4 linked regions of the Pelodiscus sinensis genome follow. The protein of the gene in region 1 interacts with the protein of each later gene in a pairwise test. Links are inferred from orthologs where the notes say so. Each region holds a gene or a part of one and is shown in the gene's direction. Other genes may lie near its edges.

What was found.
Region 2: the proteins of TNIK (region 1) and AGTPBP1 interact in a two-hybrid assay, tested with the Homo sapiens proteins (2 studies listed by BioGRID and IntAct). The link is inferred for Pelodiscus sinensis from reciprocal best matches to the Homo sapiens genes TNIK and AGTPBP1.
Region 3: the proteins of TNIK (region 1) and ACTG1 interact in a two-hybrid assay, tested with the Homo sapiens proteins (2 studies listed by BioGRID and IntAct). The link is inferred for Pelodiscus sinensis from reciprocal best matches to the Homo sapiens genes TNIK and ACTG1.
Region 4: the proteins of TNIK (region 1) and PAFAH1B1 interact in a two-hybrid assay, tested with the Homo sapiens proteins (2 studies listed by BioGRID and IntAct). The link is inferred for Pelodiscus sinensis from reciprocal best matches to the Homo sapiens genes TNIK and PAFAH1B1.

Annotation. Positions count from the first base shown.
Region 1 is NC_134720.1:39,647,677-39,655,326, reverse strand, and holds the start of TNIK (TRAF2 and NCK-interacting protein kinase), read left to right. Parts: upstream 1-4,637; 5' UTR 4,638-5,057; coding exon 5,058-5,114; intron 5,115-7,650. UniProt on the Homo sapiens protein: Serine/threonine kinase that acts as an essential activator of the Wnt signaling pathway. Recruited to promoters of Wnt target genes and required to activate their expression. May act by phosphorylating TCF4/TCF7L2.
Region 2 is NC_134716.1:41,579,117-41,586,890, reverse strand, and holds the start of AGTPBP1 (cytosolic carboxypeptidase 1), read left to right. Parts: upstream 1-4,758; 5' UTR 4,759-4,980; coding exon 4,981-5,054; intron 5,055-7,774. UniProt on the Homo sapiens protein: Metallocarboxypeptidase that mediates protein deglutamylation of tubulin and non-tubulin target proteins.
Region 3 is NC_134730.1:27,479,058-27,486,226, forward strand, and holds the start of ACTG1 (actin, cytoplasmic 2), read left to right. Parts: upstream 1-4,160; 5' UTR 4,161-4,302; intron 4,303-5,013; 5' UTR 5,014-5,026; coding exon 5,027-5,149; intron 5,150-5,254; coding exon 5,255-5,494; intron 5,495-5,786; coding exon 5,787-6,225; intron 6,226-6,378; coding exon 6,379-6,560; intron 6,561-6,662; coding exon 6,663-6,806; 3' UTR 6,807-7,169. UniProt on the Homo sapiens protein: Actins are highly conserved proteins that are involved in various types of cell motility and are ubiquitously expressed in all eukaryotic cells.
Region 4 is NC_134731.1:11,786,703-11,794,526, forward strand, and holds the start of PAFAH1B1 (platelet-activating factor acetylhydrolase IB subunit beta), read left to right. Parts: upstream 1-4,809; 5' UTR 4,810-5,114; intron 5,115-5,606; exon of another isoform or gene 5,607-5,627; intron 5,628-7,824. UniProt on the Homo sapiens protein: Regulatory subunit (beta subunit) of the cytosolic type I platelet-activating factor (PAF) acetylhydrolase (PAF-AH (I)), an enzyme that catalyzes the hydrolyze of the acetyl group at the sn-2 position of PAF and its analogs and participates in PAF inactivation.

The DNA of each region.
Region 1 (7,650 bases):
GGAATTTTGCCTTTGATTTCCATGTGGCCAGGATTTCATTCATAGCCCATATGCTATGTGCTACCCCATGATGCTCTCCATTGCAAATCTGAATGGAGATCTTGCACAGTGTGAAGTCTACAGGGCTTTGAGGAACCTGGAGCAGGATGCCACAATCATACCCCACGGTTCCCGTTCCTAAGGCCTAACTGTGACTTCTAATGTCTACTCCTCTTCCAAGCAATATCAGCTGACGTACACAACTCCTGAGGAAGCAAGGTCCATTTCCTCAAGAGAGAGGCTAAGACAACAAGAGTGAAGTTCCCTTGCGATGTCCCATGGCACTTCTTAATGTGTGTAGTGGCTTGCATCATGTTGCATGATGCCATGCCCTGTTTTGGAGTGACTCAAGGATGCAGGTAAGGCTTGCACAGAGAGTGTGCTGCAATCACTCATTATTGGTGTGGTTGCCATCTGTTCTCTTAAACAATAGCGATGGCCATAAATAATAAACCACAGGCAACGTGTCACTGCTGTGATTGTGAAGTACCCAGAGTGTTCCTCATTGCTTTGCATCTCTCCTGTGGCAACTCCCATCAGCACGAAAAGCGTCAATCGCCTGATGTACCAATTACAATGCATTTGGGAAGATCAATAGATGCAGGATGGACACAAGTAGCCATTAATTTCTGAGTATCTTGTAACACAGCTGTGGCAGGAATCACATTAGCTTGAAATCCAATTATTATCCATTTAATAGAGTATTAATATTTAAACACTCTTTATTGTGTTTAGGCAATGCCCTTTTACTAGTGCATTTCATGTAAAAATGTTGGCCTAGCTCCTCAGATGGTGTAAATCAACCTAGTACTGTACCATGGAAGTCAATGTGGCAATGCCAATTTACACCAACTGAAGATGTGATCTAATAGTCATGGAATTTTTGGAAACCAGTGACTCAGCTGAATCTTCCTTCTAGTAATCAAATATATCAGTGGATGGGTCATTGTCAATCTATTATATCAGTCCCTCTTTTTCTTTGCAAAGGCTGTGCAATCCTTTTGGAACTGATACAAAGCCTATTGAATTCAACTGGAATCTTATTAAAGAAATGTACCTCTTTAACACGCTATTTTATATCTTAAATAATTATTTAACTTAAATCATTATTTTTATATTTCAAATCATTTTTGTAACTTAAATCATCTGTCCTATAGTTGGACAAAACTTTTAATTTTTTTTTTACAGAACGAAATATTCAGAACTTTTTCAATCTAGAAATGACAAAACATTTTGTTTCCCAATTTTCTAGTGAAACAAATTATTTTGCTAGTTCTTGAAACAGAAATGTTTAATTTTGGTTATTGAATTAATCCTAAATACTGCATTTCAAATCAGCTCATTATATTAAACTGAAATTCTGTATTGTAGTGCATTGCTTTATGGGAACTGTAGTTCAGGACCCTGAACCCCCATTCTCCACTAAGGACCATGCTTCTTGTCTGTACTACAACAACTATATATCTACAGTTATGACATTTACATATACCAGGTATCTTGGTGAGATGGAACTCCACCTTGTATCACTGGAGATGTAATCCACTAGTGAGCCCAGCCAAAAAGATAGAATGGAGGCCCAAACTAACAGCTCCTATGAGACAATGCCACACAGTAGAAAAATTCTGTTTAATACTGAATTGATTAAAAATGATGAGTTTCTGGTCAGTTCAACAAAATGAAATATTCTGATTCAAGTGAAGCTAATACCAAATTAAATATTTAATTTCAATTTTTCTGATGGAGTATCACAAATTGCCAACAAAACTGAAATTTTTCCATGGAAAATTGTGATCTTGCAGAAATTGCATTTTCCATTAAAAAATAAATTGGTTCAGATGGCCGCTTCCTAGCTATCATAAGTTTCTGCAATCTGGATTCCATGTCCACTGCCACCAAGCCTTTGTACATAGCACAGTTATAATAATTTTGAAGTCGTAAAGTGACCACAGATTTGGATATTATAAACACACACAAATAGTAAAGTAATTCTTTGTGCAGAACATCCTATCAGCAGATGTTCATTATGACCAGAGCCACAATTTGCACACTGAAGTGCATTGAAGAAATTGGAATTTTCACTATACTATAAACTATCATAATTTCGCTTATTTATTCGGTTGTTGATATAAATTGGCTCTCTATATTTACATCTTCAAAGACAAATTACTGTATAGGCCTCAATTCTGAAAGTCACTCTGCCAACATCACAACATCATATTGTGGCAGGTGTCCATGCTAACATGCCTGCTTGAAGGTTTAATCTCTATACATGTAAAAAAATAAATGTCATGAACTGTTTCATAAATTACACCTTATTTTCTCTAAATGGAAAGAATATTAAACATACATTTTTCTCTTTTCCTTTCTCTCATCTAGAACAATGAAAACAGTAGCACTCTTTTCATTTTTGTTTGTTATTGGCTTCTAGCCAATTTCGCTTTCAGGTTCTCATGTGTTAGTGCAACATTGCAATGTATAGGTTACAACCAATAAAAACAACACTAGGTTTAAAAGACAATTCCATTGTTGAAAAAGAATGAGAGAATCATGGCAATAATTTGATTGTTCCATGATATTGTAAAAGCCTTTCTCCCCTTACTTTAAGATTTGAGTTAAATTAGATCCTTTTAATGTCAGCAGAGATTAATCTTTTTGCAACATGTGATTTATTTATTCTTGTATTGGAAACCTTGATCGTTTGCATCACTGCACCACTAAACAGGCTTGTGAACATTATACTTCTGTATATTTCAGTTACCTGAGACATTTGGCAGTTCAATTATACAAATTATATTTTGCTTTGCACTCGAAATTTTCTAGGAAAAAATGCTCTAACGACCAGCACTGGTTGATGACGCTGTTGCTCCATTTCTCTGCATGTATCAGGAACTCTGTGATCAGTGTTATTAATGATAAGAAGACTGATTCAGTTCTAGAGCTCTGAACTTCCTTCCCTGCAGGGTATTCACTCTGTAGACAGCACAGTGACCGTGAACAGAGGGGACAAAGTGGGGTGGGGCTGCCCCTGGATCTGCAACTGGGTTATGATAGCCTATTGCTGATAGGGAAATTTCACTCAGTAGGCTTTGTTTTGCTAGGCTAACCTACTGACTAGCTCTGCTTCCCAAATTACTCCTGGTAATATGTGTGTGCTGCGTCTCAGACTACAAAGCCCTTGACACACTAGCTGCAGGCAACAAGCCTTTCTGTCAATTGCATGATTGTTTGCACTAAAATGTAGTGCAAAGAGCATCTTAATCCATAAAGCACAATTAATAGCCAACTGCTGTCCTGCACACACATTATTGTGTGGTTGTGTTGCCACTTCACGGACCTGCATTTTGTAATATTCCCGCACAAACCTGTGAAGTTTGACAGTCTCCCCAGTGCATCTTCTATAATATTCTTCCTTGAGGCAACAAATACAAGGAATGTACCAGGTTTGGGGGGTGGTAGAGAATAACAAATAAGGAAACAAATAAAAGCTGGATCTTCCTAGATTCTGCTAGTTTCTACTGATTTTTGTCCCCAAACCCAAAATTATACACTACATCTAGTCTAGCTGCTCTTATCGAATAAAACAAAAAATCTAGTCACAGGCACATCTCAGAGCTAGAGCACTGCTATCCTCCCCCATCTTGTATCTTGCATTGGCTCAAATCCATTTTTAGGCCTCAACTCCATGTTGAATGGCATAGACAGAGAGTAAGTGTAGTCACTCTCTCTATACCTAACAATTTCAGACTCTAAGTCATCATGAAAACATGGAGTGCTACAAAAATCTGGATTCAAGCCTCTGTGTCTTGGCAATTTTTGGCTCCAGCCCCCAAATTGTACAAACTTAATATGCAGAAAGTGGCTTCACCTGCACCAGAAGGTGTGAATGCTGAATTCTTATGATAAAGGAGTGGTATCATGTTAGTCTGTTAATGGTATAATTAGAGGGTTTGGGGCCAAAAATGGAAGAAACCAGCGGATAAATATTTGTGATGCTTTTTGGAAGAAATGGCTCTGAATTTTTACTATGGAATGTGGGGAGCTATTGTTCTCGATATGGCTTGTGGTGGGATTCTTGGATTTAGGATTTAAACAGAACTATCTGAATCTAGCAGGACCAAGTGCCCTATGCACATTTTTGCAGATCTGTTTCATCAGTTTGCAACAAAGCTGGGATGTGGGGGGGGGACCACATTTTTATTTCTCTACTTACACAATAAAACTTGGGGATATAGCATGTAAAATTGGCTGAATGCAACAGTACTCAGATACTATGCATTTCTCCCCCCCCCCAGTGTTATTGGGCTGGGTTATATCAGGGTCCAGATTTTGCTCTTAAAGCAGGAACAGCTACACTGTTTTTCAATTTAGATGCATGTGTGTGTTTGTGGGAGTGTGTGTGTGTTTTTTTTCTTTTGAAGTGACAGCCTTTATTTTGATGGTCCAATTTCAGGGTTATAAGTCCAGAAATCGGCAGGGTCCAGCTCCAGGCAGTTTTTACCTTTCCTTTCCCAGCAGGATAGTGCAAACACACATGGCATGGAAATGCTGCCTCTCTCCTGAGGAAAGGCAACACCCACTTCGTGACACTCACTCCTCCCAGGAAGCCGTGATAGACACTTTGTGGCTCTCTCTCCATCCGACTGGAGGAGTTGATGTGTCTCATTATAACAGCAGCCAATGCAGCCGCCATCCAGAGAAAAGCAAAAAGCATGTCCTATTTAAATACACCCACTCCCCAGCATCGCCCTTAAGCTTTGCACTGGCCTCGCCCTCCCTACCTAAAGGATTGCAAGCAGAGGAAGACTTGCCCAGGCACTGTTTGCTGGGGGATTTTTTGTTTTGCAGTGGGGCTTTATTTTTTGGTTGTGTCGTGTTTTTCCTCGGTGTGCAGTGGGGGTGTCTCCCATCCCCACCCCCGCATGAGGAGAGGAGTGAAATAGACCCAGGTGGGGATCCAGCCAGAAGAGCGCAGCGGTTACTTTCTATCTTTGGTCAATTTCTCCGGCAAAGAAGTAAACATGGCGAGTGATTCTCCGGCTCGGAGCCTGGATGAGATAGATCTTTCAGCCCTGAGGGTGAGCAAAACAACCCTACCCCCAATTCCCTTTCCCTGCGCCCGCCCGGCTCTGACCCCGCGCGCTTTATGGCTTTGCGTGGAGATAAGTTTGCCATTGTATGCAAGCGGGTTGCAGGGGGGGGGGGGGAGTTTCTTCGGCTTTGCCAGTGTGATTCGGCTGCAGCTATGGGTGCGCGTGCGTGTGTGTGAGAGCAGCAGTGTGTGTATGTGTGTGAGAGAGCAACACTGTGTGAGACAGAGCAGCAGTGTGTGTGTGTGTGTGTGTGTGTGAGATGCTTTCTGAAGATCCAAGGAGGGGAACCAAAATCTGCCTCGCTACAACCTGTCACTCCCCCGCTTCCCTTCCCCCGCGCTGGAGAACCAGCCCGCTGTGAGCTGCTTGTCTGTAGCGCCCACGACATAGTCTGTTGCCCCCCAGCGCTGTGTGTGCTCGGCACGTAGCTGCCGAGGGGGGTGGGATGCAGATCCCGAGCCGGCTTTTGGTGTCCGTGGGGCAATGTGGGGCCAAGTCCGGGCTTGTTGCACAGCAGATGTGTCATATCCCCCGTTGCTGGGCGGCCAGCATCTGTGCACGCGAGAGTGTGTGTGTGTGTGTGTGTGTGTGTGTGTCTCCCTCTGACATGCTTTCTGCTCGCTCTCCGCTGTGTGGGCTGGCTGTCTCTGCGGGTGGGTTCCACCTGGAAGTGTGACATTTCAGGCAGGTGCCGGAGACACTGGCTTTAATCCCCCCTTCCCCCCACACAGACGCTGGCTTTAATTTACACACACACAGACGAGATGCTGGGCTTTAATTTACACGCGCGCGCCGAGGATGTGGCTTCGCTTCCCTTTGCCCTCCGCTGTGCTGATTCTTACAGCAGCCGTTACCCTACTGATCCGCATGCTCTTGCCTGGGGCCTGCCTCCGCCGCTGCCTCTCCCTTGGATGGAGCAAGGGGGTGATAGAGTCCATCTTGCAGATAGTGTTGTGAAATTCGAACATAATGAGCCCTTAATGATTTCCCTCCTCGCCTCCCTGGCCCTCAGGGGATGGGATGCACCTCGCCTTGACATTCTCATCAGGCACCGGCTTGTCTTAGGGAGCTTGATTAAATACATGCTTATTAGTGCTTGTACACACCGTGTGTGTATTTATATTTGCACCGCTCACCAATGGAACTGAATCGATGTGGGGGGTGGGATTTGGGGCCTGGAGGGTCACACCTTGTGGCACAGTGCATTGTTAAACACAGAGGCTAAACCCTGTGCTTTTTTTGTGTCTTCATCTGTTTGCATTAGCTATCCTGCCCCCACCTTTTTAAAGCGAAAGCTCTTATTTGAATTTCAAATGTACCATTAGATGTCTAGTTTACCAAATATGGCAGCCATCACTTTCTTTGTGATCTGACTTGTCCCCTCTCCTGTAACTCTTTTATTCCATCCTTTTGGCCCTGAGAATATATTACTGATTTCATCTATTGGTTAGTGAAAGGAGTAGTACCTAACATGGACATGGGTGCTGAAATTCCTGTCTGAAAGCTCATGCCTGTTTTATTACAGCAAGAGTGCTGGCACTGACTTTAAAAAAAAATGTGAAAGAAAAATAAAATTAAAGGTGGCATCCGCTAAAGAACTTTTCAGAGTGTAGTTGTAGAAATATTATTTGCTTCAGTGGAAATAAGATTCCTGTCTAATTCATTCACCCCACATTCCTACTGGTGAGTTTCTGGCTGAATAATGGTGTAAATGATTGCTCAGCAGTTCAAGGCATAGACAAGATTGGAAAATTAGGACCATATATTTTAAAAATAAATATTTACGTCCAATTCACCTCACTCCTGCTGAGGACTATCAGGAGAAATGTTATTGACCTTAATGCCAGTGTAAAGCAAATGCAATTTGAGAGATGAATGAACCTGGCATAACTGTGTTTTGTTAAGGAAGCTCAGCAGTTTAGTGTTCTTATAACACTTAAGAATTTCCTTAGTATTAAGGTCCTGACTGTTTAAAATTATGTTGTCATATTTTTGTTTGTGTGAGTGTGTGGGCGGGGGGTTCAATGGCAGAACTTGGGCAGGATATATTTTGCCCAAAACAATTGATACTCTTAGCCTCTCAGCAGTATTTTGTTTGCATTTTAAAAACATAATTCCACAAATGGAGATATGAAATCCTCTGCTGAAACTGCATTTATCACGACTCCTGATATGCACACTTTCCATGGCATTGTGCTTCTGTCCTCTAAAACCCAGCCTCCATTAATTTAGTCGGCTACAGGATCTGTTGGCTTGAGTTAATGGTCGATCTGCCTCAACAGTATCAAAATGTTGAGTTCTCTTTATGCTGCCACTTTGAACCCCTGAAGGATGACTGATGTCAGTGTTGACTGGTGGGGAAGGAGGGTGTAGGAAAAACAAAGGCTACCCTGTGAATTTTCACATACCAGAGTGAAGATAATCTGTCCAGATAGCCCAGATTTAAGAAACGTGTTAGAAAAAAGATTTGTATCTAGCGCATCAGATAAATTATTCAAGAACAGTTAATCTATATGAACAT
Region 2 (7,774 bases), on another chromosome or scaffold:
TTCCCAGAAAAGTGGAGGGGAGCTATTTATACCTCACTGTTTATATTGATCTTGTAAACTTTCCCAACACTTACAGCTGCTTCTGGGGGTGGGGTGGGGTGGGGGGTGGGGTGTGTGTGTGTGTGGGGGGGGGGGGTGTTGGGGGGGAGGGAGAAGGGAGACTCCCTTTCTTCTCCTGGTTTTAGTACTCTCCTTGCTCCTGAAGCAGCAGTACTCTCCTTGCTTCTGAAGCATCTTATTTTGATCTACGCATTTTTGATATGGCAGGGGACAGAAAGGCTGAACTAAGCCTGCTAAAGATTACTTTATACCCGTCTCCTGTTCTTCAGCAACTAATTGCATAACAAAACTAATTGCCTGTTATGCTTGAGTGGCAATGGTAATAACAAGTTCTTGTAAACTTGAGGGCTAGTACTGTACCTCATTTCTCACCCACAAAATGTAAGCAGATAAGTGTGTTTGAGTCTTGAATGTATGTGAGTCTTGAATGTTTGTCTTGTACTTCAGTGCTTTATAACTCATGGCCTTGCACAGAAATCTTTGTATTATAGGGAATCTCATTCACATTCCATCTGACAAAATCACGATGATTGAGCAACTAAGGACCATAAACAGTGGCACCATATAAGATGGAGGGTATGTCTACACTTGCACTCTCTTTCGAGAGAGGGATGCAAATGAAGACATTTGAAATTGCAAATGAAGCTGGGATTTAAATATCCTGCGCTTCATTTGCATATACGTGTTATGTCGCCATTTCGAAATAACAGATGCTTTTAAGATGCGGTTATTTTGAGAGAAAACCTTTCTCTCGAAATAACTGTAAACCTCATTGTATGAGGAATAAGGGTTATTTTTGAGAGAAGAGTTTTCTCTTGAAATAACCGCATCTTAACAGCGTTTGTTATTTCGAAATAGAGCAATTTTGAAATAGCGACGACATGTGAATATGCAAATGAAGCACGGGATATTTAAATCCCGGCTTCATTTGCAATTTCAAATGTCTTTATTTGCATCCCTTTCTCGAAAGAGGGTGCAAGTGCAGACATACCTAGACACTCTGAGGACACTATGTACTTAAAATGTTCCCATCCTTTTAAGTATTAGTATGTTGTGGTTTCTGTAGAAAATATTTTTTCGGTCCTTCTTAAAGAAGAGGACCAAAATTCTGTTTCTGACTGTGCATCTAGGTTTCTGGTCTCAAAATTAAGACCATGGTGTGGCCATCAACAAAAGTAGGTATGCTATGAGAAACACATAAAATTTGGGGAAAAAATTGAGTTTTGGCTCCAGGAGAAGCTTTTTTTAAGAGGGTAGATTTCTTCTCTGGAAATGTTGTGTAAGTTGTTAGCGATACATGCGCTATGATGATTACTGATTTTTTTCCAATATTATATAAAAGCCTGTATTCCCTGAGATTTAGTATGATTAAACAGTAACTTAGTACTTCACTGCGTGTTTGCTTTTTTTCAGTAGTATGTTAATTTTGCTCCTTTTCTTAGGCCCTATATGTTGAATTGGGAACAAGAATTACTTTTTTTTTCATTCAGAGTAACAAGTACACTTTAGAAAATCACTTGTTTTTAAAACTTGAGTGCAGAGAGTATGATGGAAGCACTTAATTGTACAGTAAAACAACCTATTGCTAACAAGTCTTAATTTTTTTTGAAATGTCTTACAGATTATATGAGATGGTTAATTGAAGAACTAAGTTTTCCAAGATGAACAAAGTAAAAACAACATCTGAGAAAAGGTAAATGCAGAAGTTTATAGAGTTCTTGATGATCATTCTATTTATTTTTCCACGTAATGTATCATAAACTTTACATTTTAAGTATTGAATTTAAAAAAAGCTAAACATTCAAAACAAATTATGGGTCCATAAGGCAACAGTAGTAATACATTATTGTAACCTTTTCACACAAATATAGCTTTAACATTATTCTCCTTTAAACAGTAATTGGTTTAGAATTATTTTTCTTTTACATAGTCATCAGCACAGTATAAAAGATAATAGATGCTAACGCCTTCCTATATTCACTAGTGCTCCATTTAGATGAGACTTACCTTACAAATTAACACTTTCAAAATTACATTTAATTTCTTTGAAAGAAGTAGTAATAAATTACCCCAAGACTACCTATTTTAGAACAAGGTCATATGCAAAAATTCACATGAAGTTGTTTACCTTTGTGCATATGGTTATCCCAATCATACATTCAGAAATAGTCATTTGGACACCCTGTTGATTGAAATTCAACAGTAGTATAACTGAGCTTGCAATAGCTTTTCTTTACTTGCGTGTGGATATTTAAGCATATCTCTGGGCTTTCATCTCAAAACTTGTCTTGAGTAGGGTACGTCAACACTGCGGTGCTATTTCAGGATACTTTCGGTATCCTCAAAGAGCACATGCCATGTCTTGAAAGCATGCCCGTTATTTCGAAAGCTATTTTGAAGTAATAGGTGTGCTGTTCCAACGTCCCTGTAAAACTCAGTCCTTGAGGATTAAGGGACGTTTTGTAATAGCACTCGCTTTCAAATTTTGGTACCGTGCTGACCGCGCCAAATAACAAAATAAGCTATTTTGAAACACACTCGAAATAAGCTAGCAGTTTGTGTAGCTTCTTTTGAGCTATGGGCACAGTGTAGATCCACACTAGCAGTCCTTCAAAGCACTGCATAACATTATAGATAGGAACAGAAGCACTTACTTCAGTGGGTCCATACGTGTATACATACAGATATGTGCTCGTGATTTACTATATTCTGAGCTAAGGGGCTGATTACCCTTCTAATTTATGTATACTTGCATCATCATCAAGCGAGTATAAATATCTGTCTATCTGCAATAGCACAGGTAGCCTCAGACACAGCTGAGTGTGCATAGTATATACCTACTGATTTCAGGCAGGTTTGTACTTGGCACAGCTTAGTCTCTGCTGGTGCTATTGTTGGATCCAGGCTATACTGCTAGTTATACTTGTGCTAGCTCATTGAGGGCTAATATGAATGTGTATATGAGTAGGGGAATACCATCTTTAGGTTGTAGTGGAAAGGTAGCCTAAGTAGTGCCAAAATCATAGCTTTGACTTGTTTAGTTTTTTGTTTATACCAAGCACCTATCTAGAGGTATCTGGGCACAGGGGTAGCAGCAGGGAAACCAAATATGCAGGCAGTTGAGTATACTCCAAAATTAAACGTATTAACTTTTCTCCAAGCACTTCAAAAACAAAATCCCTACCTATTCACCCCATCCTTTTTTGGCAAAACCTTTCTCAGATCGCAGTTTGTTGGGAACATTTTGTGCTTATGATTGGCTGATGTAAAGGAATAAAATATAATTTTATAAATCATGAGAAATGCAAACTTACACATTCCTTTACCAAAATATGCATTTCCTGCTCTGAAAATCTTGCCAATCTAATATAAAGGCAAGGGTATCAAAGTCATAATGTTGAGGGGTGTGTGTGTCCAATTCTTGAAAAGCTTGTGTATAAGGAACAGTTTCATAATGATGACACTAATTTAGAGAATTCATGCATTGTCTTCTGAATGGAAGAAAATACTACATTTGTAATAGTTCAGTTTGGAATGCACTGCAATAGCAAAACCATCTAGAAATTCTGGAAAACTTTCAACCCCTAGAAAATATGCAGGATATTTTACCTTTTAATGTGTTTTTCTACAGTATTGCTTTTTATAATAGAGTAAATTGCATATGCTATCATGGATTTCTTAATCTCAGGAAGGATTTGAAGTTTATAATGAGGATATGTTACTTCCAGTTTGGGTAGCTGTCCACTGCTGCTAGGGAACAGGTCAACATTTGAGACTAATGCTTGTGATGGTCCCTGCTTGGGCAGTTAATGAACATTCCTAAAGACCAGTCTTTCAAAAGATAAACATGGATTCCAACCAGGGAGTATTAATTTTTTTGTGAAAGTCAAGCCATCTTTCAGCAATGATTGTACCATAAAAAAGGTATCTATTGTAATTGTATTCAACTCAGGATATGTTGACCTTTTGCATGGAAGGATAATACTAAGCTGATGTGGACAAAAATAGCAATTTGTTTTATTTTGTAATAGTTTGTTCAGATTATCTCTAATGATGAGTAAACTGTGAAATACTTTGCATATCATAGACAGTTGGCATTATTGAGCTGCATGCCTGCTGCAGTCATTAAAGGGAACACTGTTCATAATCCTATAATTTTACCCGCCATTGAGCAAAATGAATTATGTTGCACCAATATGGAGGTGACGTGCAACATATCACCCTCGTATTGGTGCATATAACAAAATTCATGTGGTGGAGGTGGGGCCAAGGGATTCTGAGTGTGGGAAGGGGGCTCAGGCTTGGGACAGAGGGTTGGGGTGCAAGGGATCTCTCGGGGGGAGGTAGGTGAAGTTCTGGGCTGGGCGGTATCGGCTGGGGCGGAGGTTGGGTGTGAGTGGGCTTGGAGTCAAGCCACAGCAGGGAGGCTTTAGGGCCAGGGGGCTCACCGGAGGATGTCTGAAGCTGCCCTAGCTGTGGCGGGGGAGGATCTGGGCTACTCTGACCATGGTGTGGGGGGTGCTTTGGGAAGGGGGTGGTCGGGGCTGGGTGGTGGTTGACTTTGGATTAGGGGAGCAACTGTGGCGGAGGGCGCTCTCTGGGACCAGGTTATGTTTGCCTTTGGGCTGAGGAGGACACCTGGTTCAGGCTGCCCCTCCCCTAGCTGCTAGGCAGAGTGTGGCGAAGTTCTCTCATTCACTGTAGGATAGGGTATCTCTCACCATTCTAAGATGACATCTAATGGTTGCTATAGTAACGCCTAAGGATTCAATTATCTTTCTGGTCAAGCTCTAGAATTAGGCCATTGAGTGAAACTGATGAAGGGGTAGGTTGCATGTACCTTGCAGGGTAGCAGAAGCTCTCTACAGGAGGAGTAATGGATATGTGTCAACTCACCATTCCTACAGAAATACAGTGAAGATGCTTAGACCTTTTGGAAAGTGGGAAGGACTTGACAAATCCACTTCCCAATGGCAAGGAGAGACCTTTCCCTGGTGAGTGGGGAGAACTACAACATAAATGTCTATAGTATTCAGTCTTTCTTTGAAAAGAGAATCTGTTTATTCCTGAGATTCCCTTCCAGATATGAACCAATGCTTTGTTCTCTCTTTGACTCTTCACACAGTTCTATGGCTTTTATAGCTGCAAGCTTTCCCAAGCTGTTGCAGAGTGAAATGGACAAGACTGGCCAGTAAAACATCCCACAGGGAATGGTATCGGTGAGGATGACCAGTTAGTCCACTTCATTGAACTGCAGCTTGGTGGGGTGTGGAAAGCTATAAGCTGAAGCGCAGTCAGTCAGTGGCACTATCTGCAGGGGGAAAAAGATAACTCTTCTCCTCCTCCCTCCCACCGCACATAGCAGCCCTGCTTTGCAACAGTTAGTATCTAGGGGTACATATAGACTACAAGCCTCTTTCAAAAGAGAGTGTCTAGACTGCAACCAACCACTTCTTTCGAAAAAGCAAGTCGCTTTTTTGAAAGAGCACCCAGGCAGTCTGGATGCTCTCTTTCGAAAAAGCCCTGTTTACATTCAGTAACGCCTTTTTTCGAAAGAGCATTTTCAAGAAAAGGCGTTATTCCTTGTAAAATGAGGTTTTCCGCAGTAAAAAAAAACCTGCTGCATTCTTTTGATATAATTTTGAAAGAATGCAGCAGTAGTCTAGACACAGGTGAAGTTTTTTCGAAAAAAGGCCACTTTAAAAAAAAAACAAAAAACCCTGTAGTCTAGTCTAGGACACTATCCCTCACTAAAGCCTTCTAGCAGTAGTAAGAGAGGGGGAAAATGTGCCTTCCACTCCCTGTTAGTTATCAGAAGGATTCTAAAGTGAGAGAAAATTGACAGATGTTTGGAGACCCCCAGACATGGTACAGGAGCAGTATCTTTTGCTTTCCCAGGAGTTTTGAGGCTTCCAAACAGTGCTTTCCTGTGGAGCTTTCTAATGGCAGTATCTCATGTCTGTCTTCTCAGCTTCTTGTAATTTTTCTGACTATAGGTAAACCTACGAGGACAAGATTGTCTAAGACAAAGTTAGTGCTAAGTGTGAAAGTAGGGGAAAGATAATTTATTGCATGGTTACTTTAAGCAGCTACGTGTGAATCATGTACAGCCTGCAGTTGACTCTTTTTTCCTGTTTGAGGTGTGTGTGTGTGTGTGTATATATATATATATACCAACATTTTAGGGGTTTGTAACTGTTCTTGTGGAGTCTTAGATTTAGATAGCAGATAAGTAATCTACATTGGACTCTCCTTAGTTCGGTGTGTGTGTGTGTGTGTGTTAGTTAACTGGCTAAGGAGGAGGTTCATGGAGTTGAACTATACCTTTAAAATTATAAACTGAATGAGAATAGGTGATTGAAAACAAAACTCTAATCCTTATTACTGATTATTTTTTGGGGGCGGGGGGTATAATCTTGGTTCTAATTTTTTTCTCTCTTGACTCGCTTTTCTCTACAGCGGTTAACTTTCTAAGATTGAACTATCATACTCAAAATGAAATATACAACAGATAGAATAGAAAGCATCAGATGTTTATCACAAACTTCATTTTCAGAATTCAGTTTTTCAGTTACCTATTTAATAGAGGATATTGGGCCTTAGATTTCCCACCCCTGAACTAAATCATTCCAATCAAGACTCTTAATGAGTTGAGTGAGAAAAGTTTACAATAAATTGAATGCTTTTCATGATTTGATTGTGGTTGCTCCTGCAGGTATAGTGCTTGCAGTGTTCATGTGGTGTAAAACCTATCAGGATAACTGCAGGACTGTTGTTACTCCAACTGTTTCCTTCTGGGCTCTCTGTCCTGTATGAGAGAAGACAGGATTGTTGGAGAGGCTTTGTTAAGGACATCATTTCAGATTAGGTTGTGACTTTTGGGGGGGGGGAAGAGAGGGGACAGGGAGGGAACCTTTTAATCATTGTTTCATGGGCTACTTAGGGTTTTTTGCATACAACTTAAAAGCTAAGTGACAGGAGTGCTGTATCTAATTTCTGTTTGTTTGTTTTTTTAAAAAGAGAGAATTAAACAAATATTATGCCCACGCACCTCTAACAATATTATTTTCTGGCCTCTTGTGTTAAGGGACATTGGTTAGGATTAAAATTTAAATGCATATTCTTTATCAACTCTTGAATACAACAAATGAAAGAACTGTAGAAATATCTAAATGATTTTGTATCACTTCTGTGCACTTCACTAAGCGTGGAGTTTCTAGAAGTTAAGTGACTTACATTCTGCAAGGTCAAGGTCCTGTGAGTTTATACTGCACCTGCCTGGGGCTCTGAGGGCTACAATAATAACTGACCTTAAACAGGAGTGAAACTAACACTTTAAAGTTTCACAGTATTGCCAATCCCAAATGTTCAAAAATCATGTATCTATCTCCCCCAAAATCATGAGAGAGGCTCCTTATTTCAAAGCCAATGTAAAAATATAGGTTTGCTGTTCTCTTTATCCTTTGCTTTTTGTGCATTTAGGGTGCACTGAGGCCACATTTTGGATCTTTCTCCACAACCATGAAGGCTAGAAACTTCATTTTTCTTTAAGAATGACGGCAGAAATAATCACCTTCAGTTGGCTCCAGGAGTTGGGGCTTTAAGGAAAACAATCATGAGACTCATGACAAAATCATGAGTTGACAACACTGCTTTTACTTCTGTTCTAAAGGCAAATTATTTTTCTTTCCTGCCTGCACCAGTCCCGAGATAC
Region 3 (7,169 bases), on another chromosome or scaffold:
TGGGGTGTGTGAAGAAACTCAGGGGTGTCTGAGGGGACCCAGGCACCTCCCCCCTAAGTTTTGCTGCTATTTTTGTTTTTCGGCCTTGGTAAGTTGATTTTTTTTCGCTCAATGAGTTTTGCTGCTATTGGGGGGGGGGGGGGCGTGAGGGTTTCTCAAAAATCAGAAAGGGGGCGTGATGCTGAAAAGTTTGGGAACCACTGCTCTAGGCCAATCAGAACCCACCCCACTGCCCTATGGCTACTTGCTTCATAGCTCCGGCCCGGGAGGGAGAAAGCAAAGCAGCGAGAGAAACCTTTGACCGGTGCTCGGGGGCGCTGTGTCTGATGCCTGGCAGCTGGTGATACCCTGCGGGCGGCAGCCTTGATGCCCGTTTGCCCCCCGAGCGCTCCGGCAGAAGGGAGGGTGCTCCAGGCAGCCATTCGGGGCAGGCTGGCATTGTTCTTCGTATGTGCTGGGGTCTCGTCCCCACTCGGACGGGCAGAAGGCGTGGCGGTCCCCGGGGGGTACTGTGCCTGGTGTATTTCGAGGGGGTCTACAGGCTGATGTGGGTCGGGGGCACGGGTCAGACGGGTTATCTGAGATGAGTGTTCTGCCCCCGCTCTCGTCACCTGGAGCCCAGGGCTGCCCTACCCAGGATCTGAGTCTGATAGGGAGTTACTCATCCGCGCTGACGAGTGGGGATTGGCGGAGCTGGCAATCGGCTTCCTAGTTTGGACAAGAGGAAGAGAAACAAGTTACTGTCCGGGGGAGGAGGCGCGTCACGGGCACCTACAGCAGGGCTGGCTGGTTAGCCACCTCTGGATGGAGCCCGTGGGGATGGGAAGCGCCCAGCAGTTAACCTGTCGGGTGCCAATCTTGCTTGTGTGCCACAGGGATTTGCAGGCCATCCAGACCCTTGTCTGCAGAGCGGGTTTGCCAGGCCATTGCGCCGGGCCGGGAGAACAAAGAACAGCAGGCGTGGCCCCCCCTCCCGCCCTCTCACCCCAAAGGCCTGGCTGGTTTCCATCAGCACCTCTAGAGCACGGCTATAAAAGCCTTTTAGTGCCGAGGGGATGAATAATGGCTGTTTCCTCTGGTGATTAACCCACCCCCCGCCAGGCCAGGGCCGGCAGTGATGGAAGATGACGTGTTTTTCCCAGAGGCGCTGGAGGTGTCCTGGGCTGGAAGGGGAAAGGCAAAGAGGACCGCCAGCCCACCGCCACCTGGCTATTCATCGCTAATATTAGGAACCCCCCCCCATTGTAAAGAACTCGTCCACATAGTAACTTCCAATCCCACCCCACCTACATGCCACATGCCAGGAAATTCTCTGAGCTCCACCCCCTCTGATTTTTTTTTTTTTTAGAGATGAGCTGATCTGGTGTCCACTCCTGTGTATTTCATTCCTCCAGCTAATCCAGGGGTGTGTTGCTTCGTTTGTGTACACTGGCCTGCCAGAACCAAGCTCACCTTTCCTGCTTCCAAGGTAATGGTGGAGTTTGTTTATGTAGCACCCACATGTGCTCAGGGCTTTACATGACAAAGCCCTTTCTCCAAAAGGGTGGAGTCTCCCTGACAATGAAGATGGGGCTACAAAGATAGTGGCCTGCTCTCCAGAGGAGCCTTTTCCATCACTCCGAGCAGAGACTACACAACAACCTGAGTTGTATTCTGCACGCTGCGCTGCACACAATCATTGTCACACAACAGCCCTCCAGGCAGGGCCTACTCACGGTTCCAGTGGTAACTAGATGTCAGGGGTCCAGCCCTGCTAACTGGCTTGTTGTGACCTTGGAACAACCACTTCACCGTTCTCTGCCTCCATTTACCCACCTGTAAAATGGAGCTGAAGCTAGCTACTCCCTCAGCTGCTAGGCAGGAGAGTCCAGCAATGAGCCTCATCCAGCCTTTTGTTCCAATCAAGTCCTGCTGTCCATTCATTTGCATCATACAGCCAGATTTCAATCGACAATTAGTGATTATCTCCCCAGCCTGACTGACCTAGATTCCTGGGCAACAAAGATGCAGATCCCAACCTACTGGGCTAACCTCTTCCCACCCATACAGGTATGCTGAGAGTTGACAAACACATCCAAGTCACTTTGTACCCCGGTGTAGAACAGGGATGCTCTTTTCGGGGCCTGCTGTGTCATGCTTCACCCCAGAGATGGCTGCATTTCACTGCTGCTGTTTGCATACTCAGTACAACTGTACCTAGAAAATCACGTTTACCCGAAATCCCTGTTCCATGTCCCCTTGTTTTTAATTACATTCACTATTTCCCCCTTTGTCCATATTCATGCAGCTCCCATAATCCCCTAGCTGAGGACCCACTGCACTCTACAAGAGGGCTGGGCACTGAATAAACCTGAGTCACTTGGGGTTTGCTTTTTCTTGCAACTGTGATGCAGGAGGTATTATGTCCCCAGCAATGGCTCCCTGAGGCACCAGAAGAGCCCATGAAAACAACCACAAATGCAAACATTTCTTAGCTTGTTTGGAAACCCCTCTGAAGATGGCAATCGCGATTAAAAACAAATGCAAACCCGGGCAACCCACAGCTAGAGATGCCCGCCCGTCACTGTAAGGTGCCGTTGAAGCCCTAGCAGGAAAGAGGCTGTAAGATTTAAACCATCAAGTTGCAGGCCTTGATTGCAGGGCACTGGTGAGCATGCAGCCCAGGTAGCTCCCCAGGGGCGGCGGGGTGGCGCTGGGCACAAGGTGGCAGAGGCACTGCTAGAGCGAGAAGAGGGATTGGACGATGGGGTTACTGCTGCGGCTCATTAGGATGAAGGTGCGTGGCAGGGTCTGAATGCAACTGGTTAGCAGCTGAGACACAATTACAATACGCTGTGCCTGGGACACGCCATACCATGTCTGGGGGATGCGCTGCCAGTGCCTCTGGGACATGGGGGCACCCCTCCTGGCATGGGGCAGTGATATGTGATATATTTGAGTCAAACACTGCATGACCCAGGGGTGGCAGCAGGGCACAGCACAGGATGCAGGGGTGCCGTTGCGGAGTCTGGGGGTGCAGAGCATGGGTATACCAGGGAATGCAGAGCATGAGGGGGCACAGTGCAGGGCCTGGGGGTGCAGAGCATGAGATCCTGGGTTGCCAGTGGGTGCAGAGCGCAAGGGCTGGAGGTGTCAGGAGGCACAGGGTGTGGGGGCAATATTGGGGCACACAGCGCAGGGGATGTGGGGGGGATACTGGGGGGCACAGTGCAGGGTCCAGAGGGAGGGGGGCTGGTCCAACTGGGGGGGCTCCCGGGGGCTGGCTCAGGGCAGGGCCTGGGGGATATTGGGGGGCTCCCGGGGGCCGGCTCAGGGCAGGCTCGGGGGGATATTGGGGGGCTCCCAGGGGCCGGCTCAGGGCAGGCTCAGGGGGATATTGGGGGGCTCCCAGGGGCCGGCTCAGGGCAGGCTCAGGGGGATATTGGGGGGCTCCCAGGGGCCGGCTCAGGGCAGGCTCAGGGGGATATTGGGGGGCTCCCAGGGGCCGGCTCAGGGCAGGCTCGGGGGGATATTGGGGGGCTCCCAGGGGCCGGCTCAGGGCAGGCTCGGGGGGATATTGGGGGGCTCCCAGGGGCCGGCTCAGGGCAGGCTCGGGGGGATATTGGGGGGCTCCCGGGGGCAGGCTCGGGGCAGGCTCGGGGGGATATTGGGGGGCTCCCAGGGGCCGGCTCAGGGCAGGCTCGGGGGGATATTGGGGGGCTCCCGGGGGCAGGCTCGGGGCAGGCTCGGGGGGATATTGGGGGGCTCCCAGGGGCCGGCTCAGGGCAGGCTCAGGGGGATATTGGGGGGCTCCCGGGGGCAGGCTCGGGGCAGGCTCAGGGGGATATTGGGGGGCTCCCAGGGGCCGGCTCAGGGCAGGCTCGGGGGGATATTGGGGGGCTCCCGGGGGCCGGCTCAGGGGATATTGGGGGGCTCCCTGGGGCCGGCTCGGGGGGGTATCGGGGGGCTCCCTGGGGCCGGCTCGGGGGGGTATCGGGGGGCTCCCGGGGGCCGGGTCTCCCCGCTCCCGCTACTGGCCCAGGCCGCGCCCCCTTCTCCATGCAGGCTGCGGAGCGCGCTGAGCAAGGGAGGGGCGGGGCCAGGCCATCCAGCCGCCCCACGTGGCCTGGGCCGCGCCAGCCAATGGCCGCGCGTGTTTCGGAAAGATCTCCATATATGGCTATGTTCTCGGCCGGCGAGGCGGGGCCGGCGCCCCCGGGTATAAAAGGGCGGGGCTGCGCGCACCACGGTCTCACTCAGCCGGCGGCAGCGGACCCAGCAGCCTCGCGTCCCGCAGCACCGAGCGGAGCCTCCTGCCCACAGGTACTGCCCGGGCCGCGGGGCCTGGCGCCCGCCTGCGCCGCCCCCCTTCGCCAACCGCAGGCCGCGGCGGCGCGCCCCGGGCTCCTTCCCGGCGGGCCGGCTGGGGCGCGCGCCGCCCCCCCCTTTGGGGGTTCGCGGTGGTACCGCCCGGCCGGCCGTTTGAATGGCGCGAGGCCGTGGCCGTGTGCGGGCTCTGGCCAGGTAGGGGCTGTGATTGGTCCCCCTGGCGGGTGACGTAATAGAGCGGGAGGTTTGTTTGAATGGAGAGGGGTGGGGCTGCTTGTCGCTCTCCGCGGGCAGAGGGGCGGGGCTGTAGGCTAGCCCGTTGCTCCGGCAACAGGCCCCTGGCGCAGCGGGCGGGCGGGGGGAGAGGACCTGGCTGCGCCTCGCGCCCTGCCCGGGGCTGTAGGCGGCTGAGCGCGTGCTGCGGGCTGGGGGCAGGGCTGCCCTCGCTGCCATGGGGGGTGGCGCCTTTGCAAGCTGGGCGGGGCAGGCACGTCTGGCTCCAGCTGCTGGGATCCTGCAGGGCCAGGCCTGGGTGCAGTTAGTGACCCCCTGCAGGTGGGGGCCCCCCCGGCCTTGGCTTGCACCTGCAGGTGGCCCCCCCCCCCCCCCCCCCCCCCCCCCGGCCTTGGCTTGCAGCACAGACCGAGCTCTCCTGGCTCAGCCTGTGCTGGACCCGCCCTTGACCAAGGTCTCTCCCCTCTGCAGCAAGATCTCCACCATGGAAGAAGAAATTGCAGCGCTCGTCATCGACAATGGCTCTGGCATGTGCAAAGCTGGCTTTGCAGGAGATGATGCCCCTCGAGCCGTGTTCCCCTCCATTGTTGGGCGCCCGAGACACCAGGTGAGCAGCCAGCCACGTACCCGTGAAGTGAGAGTGGCCAGGTGTAATATTGCTGGGGGTTATGAAAAGGGGCCTTGACACTTACGGCCTGCCTTGTTTTTAAAGGGTGTCATGGTTGGCATGGGGCAGAAGGACAGCTATGTAGGCGATGAGGCCCAGAGCAAGAGAGGTATCCTGACTCTCAAGTACCCCATCGAGCACGGCATTGTCACCAACTGGGATGACATGGAGAAAATCTGGCATCACACTTTCTACAATGAGCTTCGTGTAGCACCTGAAGAACACCCTGTTCTGCTGACAGAAGCTCCCCTGAATCCCAAGGCCAACAGAGAGAAGATGACACAGGTACACTTGCTGCAGTAGTCTGTGATCTGCCTTCCTCCCTGTTTCACAAACCATCTCTTTCGTTATGGATCTCTTTTAAAACTCAAGTGTTCTTTCAATATTTTCAGGGCTCTGTACACCTCCTGGCATTTCCTTCCTGAAGTCTCAGGTTTCTTTTTTTGTTTTCTTTCTGCCTGCGTTCTTTGCTTTTCCTTTCCCAGCACATCAGTTTTTGCATGCAAGCATGTTTTCAAAGATTGGCTTGAGGCGAGGTTTTCGTACTACCTGTAGTAAAACAGAACTTTCTTTGCAGATCATGTTCGAAACCTTCAACACCCCAGCCATGTATGTTGCTATCCAGGCAGTGTTGTCCCTGTACGCCTCTGGTCGTACCACTGGTATTGTTATGGACTCTGGTGATGGTGTTACCCATACTGTGCCCATCTACGAGGGGTATGCTTTACCCCATGCCATCCTGCGTCTGGACTTGGCTGGCCGAGACCTGACAGACTACCTCATGAAGATCCTGACAGAAAGAGGCTACAGCTTCACCACCACAGCTGAAAGGGAAATTGTGCGTGACATCAAGGAAAAGCTGTGCTACGTTGCCCTGGATTTTGAACAGGAGATGGCTACTGCTGCTTCATCATCCTCCCTGGAGAAAAGCTATGAGTTGCCTGATGGTCAGGTGATCACCATTGGCAATGAGAGGTTCAGGTGTCCAGAGGCCCTCTTCCAGCCATCCTTCCTGGGTAAGTATCTACCAAACCGTCATCTGTGCTGGAACACAACAAGCCATGAGAATCGCTGGACTGCCAAGTGCTAGCTTTGCAGTGCTGACTGCAATCTAAAGCTGGTTAGGGGAGGGGTTGGGTAACTGAAGTCTGATCACTTCTGTCTCTTAGGTATGGAATCCTGTGGCATTCATGAAACCACTTTCAACTCCATCATGAAGTGTGATGTAGATATTCGAAAGGACCTGTATGCCAACACAGTATTGTCTGGGGGAACCACAATGTACCCTGGGATTGCTGACAGAATGCAGAAGGAAATCACAGCTCTGGCACCCAGTACGATGAAAATTAAGGTAAATGGCTCTCCTCTTTCCAAAGAGCTACTGAGTCATAGGAGGAGGCTGCCTTTCCAGATATTCTTGACCACTGACTAACTGCTTCTCCTGTCTTTCTAGATTATTGCTCCACCTGAGCGTAAATACTCCGTTTGGATTGGTGGCTCCATCTTGGCGTCTCTCTCTACCTTCCAGCAGATGTGGATCAGCAAGCAGGAATACGATGAGTCTGGCCCATCCATCGTCCACCGTAAATGCTTCTAAATGGACTTTTCACTAGTATACATTTGCCTGGGCAAATTTATACACTTCATGCTAGCCTCATAAAACTGGAATAAGCCTTTTTTCAAAAACTTGCCCTTGGGAAAGTCTGTAAGACAAATGTCAGTGACTCGAAGTTGCTGATTTGACCCTGTATTCAAGTTAACTGTTCCCCTGGTACATTTCAGCACCTACCCTGTATGTATCTGACCAAACCTTGGTACAGGTGGCATCACTCATGTGGCATAAATGCTAGGGTTAGCTTGTATTGGTAGAAGAATGTTCAAGTATCTCACTATGGGCTAGTGACTCCTGGTAATTCTAGGGTTTGAGCCTAGATTTGTACAGGGTATTTGTCAGACTTCC
Region 4 (7,824 bases), on another chromosome or scaffold:
TACTTCACAGCGCATAGTGAAACTTGACTAGTTTTTGTAAAGGGCTTTGAGATGTTTGGCTCAGAAATGTTATTTTTGTTATTACTGAAAGAGACAAGGTAGATGAAGTAATATCTTTTATTGAACCAACTTCTACCACAGCCCCTCCCCTTCCACTTGAGGCCCTAGCCCCTTCCTGGAACATGGAACTGCCCCCCACACACACCTTCCCAAAGACCTATGGAGGCTGTAGGCACCCCTTAGTATTCTTCAGACCTGGAGAAGGTAATTAGAATGGACATGCTAAATGCAAGGTGTGCCAGATTGTCTGCCAACAGGTAATATATTACCTCACCTATCTTGTCTCTCTCATATCCTGGGACTAACATGGCTACAATAAGACCACAGACAAGTTTTATTACTTTCTCATATTCCTCTAAGATAGGAGGAGAGTATCTGGGAAGATGAGCCAAGATCTATCCAATCCCTAGATCCCAGATCTAAATTAGGGAAGGGCCATGGATGATGTGCATGCTTCTTTCAGATCTAGTGACACTGGGTCCTGCAGGAAAGCTCATGTGTTAAATGTACTGCTGATTCAGTGGCAGATTTCACACAAACCACAATTAACATACCATGCCAATCCATCTCCTTGTGTTGCAACCAAACGTGATACCCAACAGAAAGGTACAGCAATGACTTAGCTCTAGGGTTTTTTTCCACCTCAGAGCAGCTACCTCCAATGAACCTGACGTTCTTGTTCCTAACAAGTGAAGCTGCTGCTATTACCACTCCTGGGTTTCTATCACTACTACTTTTTCCATGTTTCTTCCCATTGAGGCTACGTCTACACTGCAAGGTTTTTGCGCAAAAACCTGCGGAGCATCCACACATGAAATGTGCTTTTGCGCAAGTAAACCAGCAGTAAAATAGCAGATCAGAGGGCTTTTGCTGGTGTAGGTAAACCTTCTTCTACGAGGCAAATCTCCCTTTTGTGCTATAGCTATTGCACAAAAAAGCAAGTGTGGAAGCTCCTGAGGGAAAAAGCACAGGTGCTCTGAGGCCATGAATGGCCATCAGCTTTCTTGCGCAAGAGCGTCAATGCAGTGTGGACGCTCTCTGGTGCAAAAGCACATTGCTTTTGCAATACGCTTTGAGGTGTGGACGTGCTCTTGTACAAGAAGTTTATTGCGCAAAAACTATTGTACAACAGGCTTCTTGCGCAAGAAGCCTGCAGTGTGGACGTAGCCTTAGTGTATGTTTCAAATTATTTCTCTTCATATGTACAAGCAATTTTTACTATTTGAGGTGTATTTTCCATGCTGGATCTAATTATGTTACTTTCTTCCTATATTCAGGTGTCCCCTTTTTATTATTTGTCTCTTCACAATTATGTGCAGCTCTTCTTAGTTTAGCATCATTTGCAATATTGAAATTATTTTAACTACATGTTCCAGATCACCAATAAAAGGTTAATGAAAATAACATTGAACCTCAAACTGATCCCTGCAATACCCCCACCGGAACTCTTCCCACAACTTAAGACAATGGCATTAGCATTATCTGGTGTTTACTGGAAAACTTAAAAAACAACAAATAGTCTAGTAGCACTTTAAAGACTAACAAAACATGTAGACGGCATCATGAGCGTTCATGGGCACAACCCACTTCTTCATCTGTTGTTTTTTTAAGTTTTTCCTGTTACAGACTAACTTGGCTACACCTCTGAAGCTTGTGTTTCTTGTCCTTAAACCAGTATTCAGGCCACAGGGTTTATATTCAACCCAATTTGAATACATTTTTTCTAATAAGATTTTGTGAGTTTGCCGGATTTTCTGTCCCTTGGGAAGTTTATATGAGTGCACATGCCAACCTCCATGACACCTTGACTTCAGGGCTATGTCTAGACTGGCATGATCTTCCGCAAATGCTTTTAATGGAAAAGTTTTTCCGTTAAAAGCAGTTGCGGAAAAGAGCGTCTAGATTGGCACGGACGCTTTTCCGCAAAAGCACTTTTTGCGGAAAAGTGTCCATGCCAATCTAGGCGCGGTTTTGCGCAAGAAAGCCCCGATCGCCATTTTCGCCATCGGGGCTTTTTTGCGCAAAACAATACCGCGTTGTCTACACTGGCCCACTTGCGCAAAAGCATTTGCACAAGAGGGCTTTTGCCTGAACGGGAGCAGCATAGTATTTCCGCAAGAACACTGACAATCTTACATGAGATCGTCAGTGTTCTTGCAGAAATTCAAGCGGCCAGTGTAGACAGCTGGCAATTTTTTCTGCAGCCTAGGATTATAAGGATTTTGACCTATAAAGTTCAAAAGATCTAGGTGTTTCCTACCTGAGATACGGCTTCTTTTTACATGCCATAGTGTTGCAGTTGAGATCAGTGAAGGCATCTGAGCTGGAGTCTCTCAATACTGTACAAAAAGGAAGGATCTGCTGGCAGGGCAACCTCCAGGGCTTTCATCTTTGGAATGCACTCCCTTTTTTGGTCCAAAATAGCATCACTCTGTTGCTTTTCCAGGCACACTGTAAAGCCCTTATCTTTGAGTGGGTCTTTGGCAGAGCTGAGCCTGACTATGAGAAAAGGAAGGTTTTAATCTGCAATATGCACACACACAAATTATTATTATATAGTGACCCATGTTCTTTTCTGAGCTTTGTAATTATTTTCAGGTGGTATTTATAATTATTGTCAAGGGTGCTAAGAGTTTCAGCTAGTTTATGTTGAATTTCAATCCAAATAGGTAAGTAAACATAAAGCAATGCATGGGCCCATAGCTGTCTGCAAATGTATCTAGTTATACCTGAATACACACAGGGATTTTGTACATACATCTCTGGCAATCTACTTGAAAATATGCACTTAACTAGAGACTGGAGAGCAGTCAATTTCTGGTATGTGGAGATCCTGTTGAGAGTCAGCATGGCAGGGAACAATCATGTGGAACTTAGCAAGATAGGTTTTGTCAGTGCAAGAGGACTATCTTTTTTGTGGCATTCCGTGGGGCTGGAGGTTAGACATACTGAGAAATGGAGGGCAGGAATGCAGGATGATTGGAAGGAGGCTTGTGGGTCTATGCATGAAGGTGTTTGGGGCTGGTACACGCTGCAGATAGGGAGTGTAGGACTGGCATGGTGGGGCTGAGAGGCGGATGCTGAAGGATGGGGTGTGCGGGATATTGGAGGATGGGGTGTGTGGGGCTGGGAGTGGGAAATGCTGGAGGACGTGGTGCTGGCAGAGAGGATATACTGGGGTAGAGGGAGGTTTGAAGTGTGGGATGGGCTGTGGGCCAGGGAGTAGAGGATTGGGGATAGTTTGCTGGGGAATGGGGGGTGTGGAGCTGGAAGTGGGGGATACTGGAGAATGTGGGGACTGGGGTGGTGGGACTGGGAATGGATTTGCATTGGGATGGAGTGTGTGGGGCTGAGAGTGGGGAAGGATGGGGTGTGTAGGTCTGGGAGTGGAGAACACTGGAAGATGCAGTGTATGGGGCAGGGGAAATGGGGGACACTGGAGTCTGGGATAAAAGGGGCTGGGAGTGGGGGTTAGGGTGTGTGGGGATAGGAGTGTGGGGCTGCTGGGAGATGTGGTGAATGGACTGGCAGAGAGGACGTACTGAGATAGCAGAAGGGCGGAGGGCTAGAAGTGGGCGATAGGGTGTGTATGGCTGGGAGTGAGGGACAATGGAGGATAAGATGTGGGGCTGGGAGTGGGGGACGCTGGAGGATAAAGAGTGGGGCTGGCGGTGGGGACGTTGGAGGATAAAGGGTGGGGCTGGCAGTGGGGGATGTTGGAGGAGAAGGGGTGGGGCTAGCAGTGGGGACACTGGAAGAGAAGGGGTGGGGCTGGCAATGGGGATGCTGGAAGATAAGGGGTGGGATCGGCAGTAGGGGAACTGGAGGATAAGTTACAGTGGGGGACGTCTAGGTTGGATATTAGGAAAAACTATTTCACTAGGAGGATGGTGAAGCACTGGAATGGGTTCCCTAGGGAGGTGGTGGAATCTCCATCCCTAGAGGTTTTTAAGTCCCATCTTGACAAAGCCCTGGCTGGGTTGATTTAGTTGAGATTGGTCCTGCCTTGGGCAGGGGGCTGGACTCGATGACCTCTTGAGGTCTCTTCCAGCCCTGGGATTCTATGATAAGGAGTGGGGCTGGCAGTGGGGGGTGCTGGGGAGAAGGGGTGCAGCTGGCAGTGGGGGAGGGAGAAGGGGTGCGGCTGGCGGTGAGGGGGGGGAAGAGGCAGGGCTGGCAGTGGGGGCACTAAGGAGAAGGGGTGCGGCTGGCAGCAGGAGTGCTGGGGAGAATGAGTGGGGCTGGCAGCCAGGGAAGGGGGCGAAGGGGTGGGGCAGTGGGAGGGTAGATGGGGTGGGGCTGGCAATGGGGGGGCGAAGGGGTGGGGCTGGCAGCGGGGGGGGGTGAAGGGGTGGGGCTGGCAGCCGGGGGGGGGGTTAAGGGGTGGGGCTGGCAATGGGGGGGCGAAGGGGTGGGGCTGGCAGCCGGGGGGTGTGAAGGGGTGGGGCTGGCAGCCGGGGGGGTGTGAAGGGGTGGGGCTGGCAATGGGGGGGCGAAGGGGTGGGGCTGGCAGCGGGGGGGGGGTGAAGGGGTGGGGCTGGCAGCCGGGGGGGGTTAAGGGGTGGGGCTGGCAGCCGGGGGAAGGGGCGCTGGCAGCGGGAAGATGGGGGTGGGGTTGGGGAGCGTGGAAGAGGCCAGGGGGCGATATTAGGACTTGAGGTGGGAGATGCTCCCAGGGGCCGCCCGCGGTGCATGCCGGGAGAGGCAGGGCGCGGTGCACGCCGGGACGCGAGCCTCCGCTTTAGCTTCCCAAGATGGTCTCTAGGCTCCTGTCCCCGCCCTCCCTCCTGCACATGCGCAGTGGGTGCGGCGGGCCGAGCTGCTCCCTCCCTCCCTCCCTCCTGGCGGCCGGGGCGCTACTGACAGAGCGAGGAGGAGCCGGCGCGGCGGCGGCGAGAGCGGGTCGGAGCCTGCCGAGACCCCCCCCCCTCTCCTCCCCGCACCCCCACCGGCCCCTGGAGCGCCACCCCCATCCACGCCACAGGGCCCCGCGCCGGTGCATGGGAGCGACGGGCGGCGCCGGCCTCAGGGAGCGAAGAGAAGCGGCGGCGCGGGTAAGGCCGGGCCCGCGAGGGAGCCCCCGTCCGCCCGCCCGCCGCGGGGTCCTCCCACGACCCAGCCGGCAGCGGCGGGGTGAGCGAGGCCCTGCGGTCCGTGCGCCTCCCTCCCCCCCCGTCCCCTCCCTCCTTCTCTCCAGCTCGGCTCTCAAAATGGCCGCCGCGCCCGTTGGTGGTGAGGAGGGAGGAGGGGGGGCAGGGCGAAGGGGGAGCGCCCATCCCCCCTCTCCGCAGCGCTGGGGGGCGATGGGGGGGGGCAGCTCCCCCCTCCCCGGGGTCTCAGCGCCCTCCGGGGGATTGAACAGGCGGGCAGGGCGGGGTGGGCCCAGGCCAGGGGGTGGGGGAGCGATGTGCCCCTTCTGGGTGGGCTCCAGCCCCCTCTCATTGGGGTGTCTTCTCCCCTCCCCGGCCTCTAGTCCTTCGCCCTGATGACTTAGCAAGCAGCCGGCGAGGAGACGACGGACCTGATGGGCCGGACAGGAGACTGGCAGTTAAAAAAAATCCCAGAGGGTGAGGAGGGTGGCGTGTGTGTGTGTCATGTGAAAGGGTCCTAACTCCCCTCTTACCCCCCGAAAATCCTTAGAGGATCTAGGTCTGTTTCTCCTCCTTGTTCCCTTTGAGATTCGGGAGGAGATGGCCCGGATCTTCAGAATCAGCTGCGGCACTAACAACAAAACCAGGGTTGCTAATAGGAGAGGGCTAGCCTTTCTTTATTTTGAATCCGTTTCCCACCCGCCCTTATCTCCCTGCAGTGATTCAGTAAGTGGGGGGAGGAGAACATTGTTAGGAGGTGGGTCAGACCTTCAGAATCAGCTGCTGCAGAAATGGGGGAGGGAGATCTAACCTCTCTCCTTTTGGGGTGTGTGTGTCAAACCCATGCCTAGTACTTGGCATTCAAATGTTTTTTTAAGGACAAAAATAGGTGGCTGGGAGAGAGGATGGAGATCTAAGTAGGAATGTTTCTTGCGGCTGATGGGCAGGATGGAGTTTATAGTCAAACAGATTTTGGGGGCGGGGGGGGGGGAATGTAGGGGGGAAGGAGGTTGGCCGTGATGTCTTTTACCTTCATATAAAGTTGGTATGGCTCAGTTTTGTGGGTGTGAAATTTGTGTGGAGGGTGAAGGAGATAGCATACTTGGCCTTTGATACAACAATAATGTGCTTTTCCATAGTAGCTGTGGTAAAATTTCTCTGCTGATAATGCTGCAGTAGGGCTTGGTTGTTGCAGGTCAAATCAATTCATAATGAATTACCTAACCAGGATGGTGGTAGGTTACTGAAGCTATATTAAAAGCCTTCATTGAACGGTTTGACTGCAAAATAATCGTAGGTGATGTGTTTAGGTTTATTAATCTGATTCAATAATCAGTGAGGTGTGTGGGGGTTCTTCAGGGTGCTTATGGCAAAATGTTACTTGTACATCTTAGTTTCATGAGGTAAGGAGAATAATCTTGTGTTCACGATTTATCATTTATGAAACGATTGTGCAGCATTCAAACTGGCAGTCAGAAGAGGGAGGGTCTCCTACCAAAATGTATCATTTGCCTTTAAAGTGGCTCTGGAAAACAGGAAAATATCTTGAGGAGCTAAACAAAGAAAATATATATTAAGCAAAAGGTTTTGTTGTCGATATCTAGTTTGTTTTCAGGGCTATTGTTTTTGTGTGTTCTTTTGATTTGACCATGTTTATGGATGCTGCGTGCAGCCATTGAGCAGAGAAGAGACTGGGTGGAGTAAGGAGGCAGAAGCTGCGAAATGGCTAGATTACCCTTTCATAGCATTTTTTTTCTTTGCTTGCGTTTTGCTGGGGTGGGGGAATGCTAATTGCTGTAACAATGAAGTCTCTTCTTTAGGGAAGAGTCAGTGGTGCAGCAACCTTCTGAAATGAAACGTATCTAGTATTCTGTTTTGTGGTTTATTTTTCTGCAGGGTGGATATTGATTTGTCTGGCAGTAAAAAGTGACCAGTCACTGTTGCAAAGCAAGGATTATTGTCTGATTATCGTTTTCATATGTTGACTTTGATTTTTTCCGTTGTTGACTTAATTTCATTTCAGTATAAATCTGAAGATTATTATAATATTTAAGGGAGATTGTTTATGCAGAAGGTGAACCTAAATAATTCTGAATTAATATTGTGGTTCGGTGCTCTGTTCATTCATGTAACTCGATGGATTCCCTACACTCTCCTGTGCCCTAGCAGGGTAATTTTATGAACTGTAGGGAATGCAGGACTTAAAGATGGGTGGTGCAGTTATGTGAAGTGATATATGTAAGGATTTTTAAGCTTTTGTAGAAAGGTATTGCTTTGTATAGCATTCTCATACTAAAATCTTCTGCATCATGGGTTATATAGGTGCTAGAAGAAGCTTTAGAACAAAGAGATTTGGGGAACACCAGAAGGATCAACTGGTAGACATCTAGGAAGGGCTTCTGCTTCTTTCTAAAAATACTCTCCTAATGAGGGGTAGCAGTGTTACCACCCAAATCTAGGCAACCATAGAGAGTATAACATTGAACTTAGGGTGTGATTCTCTGATAAGCTGTCTGAACCATTGTGTAGTTGCTCTTATCTGTTTATTTGGGGTTTAGTCTGTACTTGCCTAATACCAAAGATCAAACTATATCTGGTGTTGTGTTAATTTGACAAATATCTATATAAGGCAGTTGTAAATCAAACGACTTTTAAAAATTAAAGTGGTTTTCTT